Linked DNA regions of Mus musculus. Each later gene encodes a partner of the first gene's protein in a complex. Links are inferred from orthologs where the notes say so. Each region holds a gene or a part of one and is shown on either strand. Other genes may lie near its edges. The genes, in order: Gnai2 and P2ry12.

Region 1 (2,681 bases):
TTGGTGTCTTTGCGCTTATTTAGATCCTCAAACTTGCTCTGGATGTAGCTGGCTGCCTCGTCGTACTTGTTGGCCCCTAAGGAAGACGAATGAAGACTTGTGTATGTGCATGTACAGCAGAACTCTGTGCCCACAACAGACAAGCATGTAATGTGCACAGCACGGTCATGTGTAAGTGCGTGTGCTGTATGAAGGATGTTTCCTATGTACGTATGCTCAACGGTAGAGGCCCATGGGTGGTAACAAGCCTTTTGTGTGTAGACACAGTGCATTCCTGAGTGAGGTCCCACAGGTCCTGTGTTTTTCCTTCTGTCCAGATTGGGGCATCCATGGGCCACCAGAGCCCCAGTGGTGTCTATTGGGATGGCCACCCCACACCCCCATGAGCTAGTCTTCAAAGAGTACCCGTGTACTCAGGGAAACAGATGGTCAGGGAGCTCTGTGTGATCTTTTCTTCAAACAGGTCCTTCTTGTTGAGGAAGAGGATGATGGAGGTGTCTGTGAACCACTTGTTGTTGCAGATGCTGTCAAACAGCTTCATGCTCTCATGCATGCGGTTCTAAGGAGAAGGAAGTGAAGTCAGTACTGACACCACCCCCCACCCCCGTCGCTGCCTACCAGGCTCAGCCCCCACCCGCCACCACCAGTGCTCCTGGACTCTCACCATCTCCTCATCCTCAGCCAGCACCAAGTCATAAGCGCTCAAGGCGACACAGAAGATGATGGCCGTGACGCCCTCAAAGCAGTGGATCCACTTCTTGCGCTCAGACCGCTGACCACCCACATCAAACATCCTGTGGACATCGAGTCAACTTAATCCAGGGAGCAGAGCCCCGCGGGGGGGTGGGGGGGTGTCCTTGCACTTCACAGGCCAGCTGGCTAGGGACAGAGACCTGGCCAAGGCAGGACAGGTCCTTCTTGTGTGCCACCATGTAGTCATGGAACGTCCCTTACCACAATCCTGGTTTTGAGTCTGGTCAGAGGGACAGGCTAGAGCCACATGGGACAGGCAGGAGAAGCTATTAGTAGGTCACTACTGATGCCTAGGTGACAGACCTTGAGGACATGCCTTCCCAACACAATCCCAGGACTGGGCTACCCCAGCAGCTAGCAGCTATGGCCCTTAACCCTGTACACACACACACACACACACACACACACACACACACACACACACACACTCACTTGAAGTGTAAGTCCTTGAAGGTGAAGTGTGTTTCCACGATGCCCGTGGTCTTCACACGGGTCCGCAGCACATCCTGCTGTGTAGGGATGTAGTCACTCTGTGCAATGCGCTCCAGATCATTCAGGTAGCTGCAAGGAGGCAGGAAATCAGACAGGTCAAAAGCAGCATCCTGACCTGGACCCTGAACAGACAAAACCCTTCTTCTTCCTTCCCTTCTCCCTTCCCTCTACTCCAGGCAGGGTCTGGTTTATGTAGTCTAATCTTATCTCAAACCTATAATTCTCCTGCCTCAGCCCCAAGCACTGCGATTACAGGTGTGCACTGCTGTGCCTGCTATCCTTGCTTCTTTAAGAAACATGGGCTCAGCTGGGCAGTGGTGACACACACCTTTAATCCCAGCACTTGGGAGGCAGAGGCAGGTGGATTTCTGAGTTCAAGGCCAGCCTGGTCTACAGAGTGAGTTCCAGGACAGCCAGGGCTACACAGAGAAAACCTGCCTCAAAAAAAAAAAAAAACAAAACAAAAAAAAAAAACAAAAAAAAAAGACACACACACACACACACAAGGCTCCCCCCCCCCAAAAAAAGAAACATGGGATGGGGCTGGAGAGATGGTTCAGTTGTTAAGAGCACTGACTGTTCTTCCAAAGGTCCTGAGTTCAATTCCTGACAACCACATGGTAGCTCACAACCATCTGCAATAGGATCTGACGCCCTCTTCTGGTATGTCTGAAGACAACAACAGTGTACTCATATACATAAAATAAATTTTTTTTTTCGAGATAGGAAATAAATAAACCTTTAAAAAAAAAAAAAGAAAGAAAGAAATGTGGCCTCAGTCCTCATGTTTCCCATCTGTACAATGGGACTGGGGGATTACAGCTCTATGACCCTAGCAGTCAGGTTCTCACTTGACCTGCATCCAAGAGACGCCAGAATGTTAGGACTCACAGGTAAAAAGTGGGAGGGAGAAATTAGTCCTTTAGGGAGAGATCAAGATGCTAACCGGTGTAATTAAGGTCCCACTGCAGAGCAACCTGGTGTGGTCCCTTCATAGGACTAAACATGTCGGGGCCTGCCAGGCCCAGTGGGTCCTTCACCTAACACTCAGTAAAATTTGAGCTGAGGTGGGAGCACAGACACCTGCTTGGCAGAGATCCCTGGGGCCCTTCATCACACAGTCCTTTAATTAGTATCAATGCCTCTCCCGCAGTGTCTGACTCGATATCCCCGCTATGCTTTCAGGCTGGGTCCAGGCCTTGAAGTGTCTCCCTTCTATTGGTCTTTTGTTCTTGGGGCAGGGGTGCTGGGGCCAGCAGGCAGCCAAACCAGACCAAAGGGAAATGATCTCAGAGAAGCAGGGATAGAACAGAATAACAGGAAGGGCCACAGGGGACCATGACGCACTTGCTGTGACCTGCGTACCAGGCTCCATCCCCTGTGGACGGAGCCCCTAGCCTGAAACCTCAAGGTGAGTTCCACACCAATTTCTATCT
Region 2 (3,922 bases), on another chromosome or scaffold:
ACCCTTATTGTGACTTCTGGTTTTCCCCTCCCATGGCCACACTGCTATGGCATTTGAGTTAACTCTGAATTCTGGTGGCATGGTTTTTCCTCTTAACAGTCACCTTTCTTGCCTTTCCTTAAACTTTCCCCACCTGTCCTATACTTTTCTGTATACTTAGTCCGTCAGGATGGTCTGTGTGTCCACTATTGTAGGACCCCTGTTCTGACTACCTCTGCCTGTGTGACTTAAACCGTTCCCCGTTGGTGCCATCATGACCTGACCTGCACGTCCCGTTGCATGTAAAAGTGCATCTACTTCCCCCTAAGGGCAGGGATTCCCTCCACCATCTCCATTGCTGCAGTGCCAATGGCTACTCAGGCTGGCCTTTCTGTTATTTTAAAGAACCTTCCAAAGCGTTGTATAGAAAGCAAATGCCCATCTAATACTGCTTCTTAGAGACTACGTAGTGTTGTAACACAAGTTTTACTAAATACTGCTTACTCAGCAAATGAAAATTCTTATCAGCACACATTTTCTTATATAAACATAGCTTGTTTCCTATCCTGATGTAAAATAATAATTTTATTTTACTTTTATTTCTTATGCTAAGCTGTTACTTAAGTTTTTGGTAGATTCTAGAAATGCCCTGAAGTCCAGATAAGCATTTTAATTGGGAGATCTTTGAAGATAATGGCTTTTTTCTTTTTCTTTTTGCAATGCCAATAGCTATTGTGCTTTGATGACAAAAATTATACCACTGAAAATTAAGAAAAGTCACTTGGCTTCTATAACTAGATATATTTATATATGTGGGAAAAAACATTTACTCTTGCCTGTTTTTTATCAATAGAGTCAAATCCAGCAATTTTGTTTCCCTTTGTATCGATCAAAGAACCCATGGGTTCACACGTGATGACATCGCAGGTCTGCTTTGGCAAAGGCAGCAACTGTCGAACTTTGTCAATGCTTTCTGACCTCTTGTCTCCTAGTTCTTTCTAGAAGAAAGAGGGGGGAAAAATGTAAAAGCAAGAGAGAAGTGAGGCAAAAATTCTGACTTTACAATGAAGCAAAAGCTAACAAGAAGGAAGTTCCCCAGTGACACATTTCCTTTTTTTTAGGGCTAGTATGTCTTTAGTCCTTAGCGCAGTCTATGGAACAGCTGCAAATTGGACTGGTGAAATGTTTCATTTCTTCTATTCAAGTAGAAAATCAGGGTGCACACAAAGGCAGTCTTGTTCTCCATGACAAATCAGAGTGCTGAAATGACAAAACGCCAGTGTCATTTGCTGTCACACAGCAGGAGCTGCCGCACGGACACTTTCCCGTATCCAGGGTCACAGTGCAAGGTAACCATCAGCTTTTTTACTGTAACGTCTTCAGATTATGTATTTGCAATGTCTATTTGCCGTTCATGTCCAGGACTGTTAGTGGATTTACAAATTCAATGCAGAGCTCATTTTTTTTTTTCCCACTTGCATGTGTAAATCCAAGCATGGGTTCAAAGGAAATCTGACACTGGAGTTTTGGTTAGATATCTGATAATGCATTTTTAAAATCCTTAAAAATTAAAACACATTTTATTTGAGCACACCTTTTCAGAGAAAAAAATCGTTCAAATATCATGCTTGTAATTTTGAAGGACTGACAGAGTAGGTAAGATAACAAATAACCACAATCTGCTGAATCAGCTACACATGTAGATTAATGAGGAGGAAATTAAGACAATAATCCATAAACAACATGATTTCAGAGTAGAGGCTGATCACAAGCTTACTTTCAGTTTCTTTACTAAGTTCATGTATGCACGTTTGTTCTCTTCTGATCCCCCGGGGGAAGCACTTGATAGGTCAGAAGCCAGGGTTCCATTGATTAAAACACCCAGCATGTCAAGAACCGTTGTGAATAATTCACTGAGAAGAAAGAAAACCCCATTTTATTCTCACAAACAAAACCCGGACACACAGAATTGCCTAAGCATTTCTACTGAAAGTGCTAAGTTTTTAATGACAGCTAAATCAGTAAGTGGCAGAATTTCCTGTCAGTAGACAAAAGCTTGTACCATGCATGCATGCAGGGGAAAAAAAAAGGTATAAAATGATAAAAAACAAAATAAAACAAAACAAAAACCCAACATACTTGTTAGTGTGCATGTCAACAGTTCCCGAAGTAATTATCTGGAGGAGTAGGAGGGCCCAGTCGGTGGTCCCCTGCGTGCTCCGCTGTACCGTGTCAAACATTCCTCCTACCTAGCATACAAAATATGATAAAGATTTTGTATTGCTACCCCTATTACCATATGTGCCCAAATGTTGATTTGTTAAACCAGAAGTGATGTTAAGAACTGGTTCTTGCTAGCCACACTATGGATTATCCTACAACTGTCTCTTCTAGCTATGTGGTTATCACTGTTTATGGTTCTTTCCACAGAGGCTAGGCATTCAAAACTTAACAGAAAGTGTAACACTTGAATGTGGGCAGTCACAAAATTACCTTTCTCTTCTCATCAGTCTCTCATGGTACTTAGTTTTAGACATAACTGCAGTTAAACCTGAATAGCATCAAAACTCTGTCTCATCACCTGCAATTGTGTGATATTCGATTATTATTGCATCTGAGCCTGCCACTATAATATCCCTGGAGATGCCCTTTAACGTGGAAGGAATGAGGAGGAGAAGGTATTGCCACAGGTCTGCCAGCTCCTGGGAGGAGGTCAGAGTGCTGAAGGTGAGGTGAACAACTGCCCAGGGAGGTCAGATTGCCAAAAGCCAGAAAAGCAATTGCCCAGGGCACGTTCAGGATTTGTCAAGAGGAAATTTAAGGGAATACAAAACATGCTGAAACTTTCAGATTTCTGTAAAATATTCTTGTGAGATTTGTCTTTTTTTTTTCTGATCAATTTAACAGAATGTCTCTGAGAAAAATTGAGAGTTGACAGATTTCTGTGGTTGTAAAATAGAACACAGTGAAAGCCAACACTCCTATTAAAGGTTTGTCGGACCTCCCCTTAGCACTGCACAGGAGGAGGAGGAGAGATCTGCCAGATGGAGCCTCTACTCCCTGGTGGAAAACACAAATAGGTGCTTACAACTCTACTGTCTAGAATTCAACCCAGACAGGAAGGACGGCAGCTAAGGAAACAGAAGGTTTAAGAGAAAAGGAAGTAGGTACAGAGTGAGAAAGAGGAAGGCTTCCCTCTGTCATGCAGATTCTGTCCACAGATGTTGAAAGCTGGTATTACTTTCACACAGAGAGAGGTGTGACAGAAATGGGTCTGCCACATCCTTACCAGATTCAGGCGGAGCTGTAGGGCCTCATGCATCATCTGGCGGGCTTTCGTATCATCTTGGTATCTTTCTTCCCTCCAGTTACTTAAAATCTAAGATTGGGAAAAAACAAAGAGTAACAACAGAAATCCCTTTGTTCTTTGCTATGACGACTTTTACAGGTTTAAAATGAAGCTCTACAGTAACAGCTAACACTTCTTAGCTTAAACATTAACAAAGTTATTTTTTTTTTTTACTCTTCCTCTTCTTCCAGACAGACAAAATCCCAGTTATTTTATAATTTCCTGGGTAGCTGGGAGAAGAAAGTCTTACACACACACACACACACACACACACACACACACACGGAAAAAGGCCACACAGAAATGCCTATGGCAAGGACAAAGGGAGGCAAGGTGAACTGAGACTCGCAGAAAGGCAGAGCAGGTCTGCTTAACATCTGACATGGATCCTTCCAGGCAACAAAAGAAGGAAGTGCTCAGGCACCTAAACCAGGACACTGGCCCAGCCCAGAGCGGCTTGAAGGAAAGGATAAACCCACTGGAAGAGACAGCAAATGCCCAATCAGGAGTGGCTCTATCAGTTCAGCCCTGGCATTTGTAGTCTAGGTATGAAGAGAACCCTGAGTGCTTTGTATTTAAATGGCTCCCTCTGGA

What was found.
Region 2: the proteins of Gnai2 (region 1) and P2ry12 are in contact, whole or in part, in a cryo-EM structure (PDB 7XXI), measured with the Homo sapiens proteins. The link is inferred for Mus musculus from reciprocal best matches to the Homo sapiens genes GNAI2 and P2RY12. Residues at the interface, in NP_002061.1 of Homo sapiens: Arg24, Glu28, Ala31, Arg32, Leu195, Glu319, Ile320, Tyr321, Phe335, Phe337, Asp338, Ala339, Thr341, Asp342, Ile344, Ile345, Lys346, Asn348, Leu349, Lys350, Asp351, Cys352, Gly353, Leu354, Phe355; in NP_073625.1 of Homo sapiens: Phe59, Asp121, Arg122, Lys125, Thr126, Pro129, Phe130, Thr132, Asn134, Pro135, Ile212, Leu216, Ser219, Tyr220, Arg222, Thr223, Arg224, Val234, Lys237, Ile241, Leu301, Cys302, Lys303.

Annotation. Positions count from the first base shown.
Region 1 is NC_000075.6:107,615,750-107,618,430, forward strand, and holds part of Gnai2 (guanine nucleotide-binding protein G(i) subunit alpha-2), read right to left. Parts: intron 1,315-2,681; coding exon 1,186-1,314; intron 795-1,185; coding exon 665-794; intron 560-664; coding exon 406-559; intron 77-405; coding exon 1-76. UniProt on the Homo sapiens protein: Guanine nucleotide-binding proteins (G proteins) are involved as modulators or transducers in various transmembrane signaling systems.
Region 2 is NC_000069.6:59,260,180-59,264,101, reverse strand, and holds the start of P2ry12 (P2Y purinoceptor 12), read left to right. Parts: upstream 1-1,116; 5' UTR 1,117-1,328; intron 1,329-1,756; coding exon of another isoform or gene 1,757-1,892; intron 1,893-2,118; coding exon of another isoform or gene 2,119-2,228; intron 2,229-3,268; coding exon of another isoform or gene 3,269-3,358; intron 3,359-3,922. Other genes in the region: Med12l (mediator of RNA polymerase II transcription subunit 12-like protein), read right to left, coding at 816-977, 1,757-1,892, 2,119-2,228, 3,269-3,358. UniProt on the Homo sapiens protein: Receptor for ADP and ATP coupled to G-proteins that inhibit the adenylyl cyclase second messenger system. Not activated by UDP and UTP. Required for normal platelet aggregation and blood coagulation.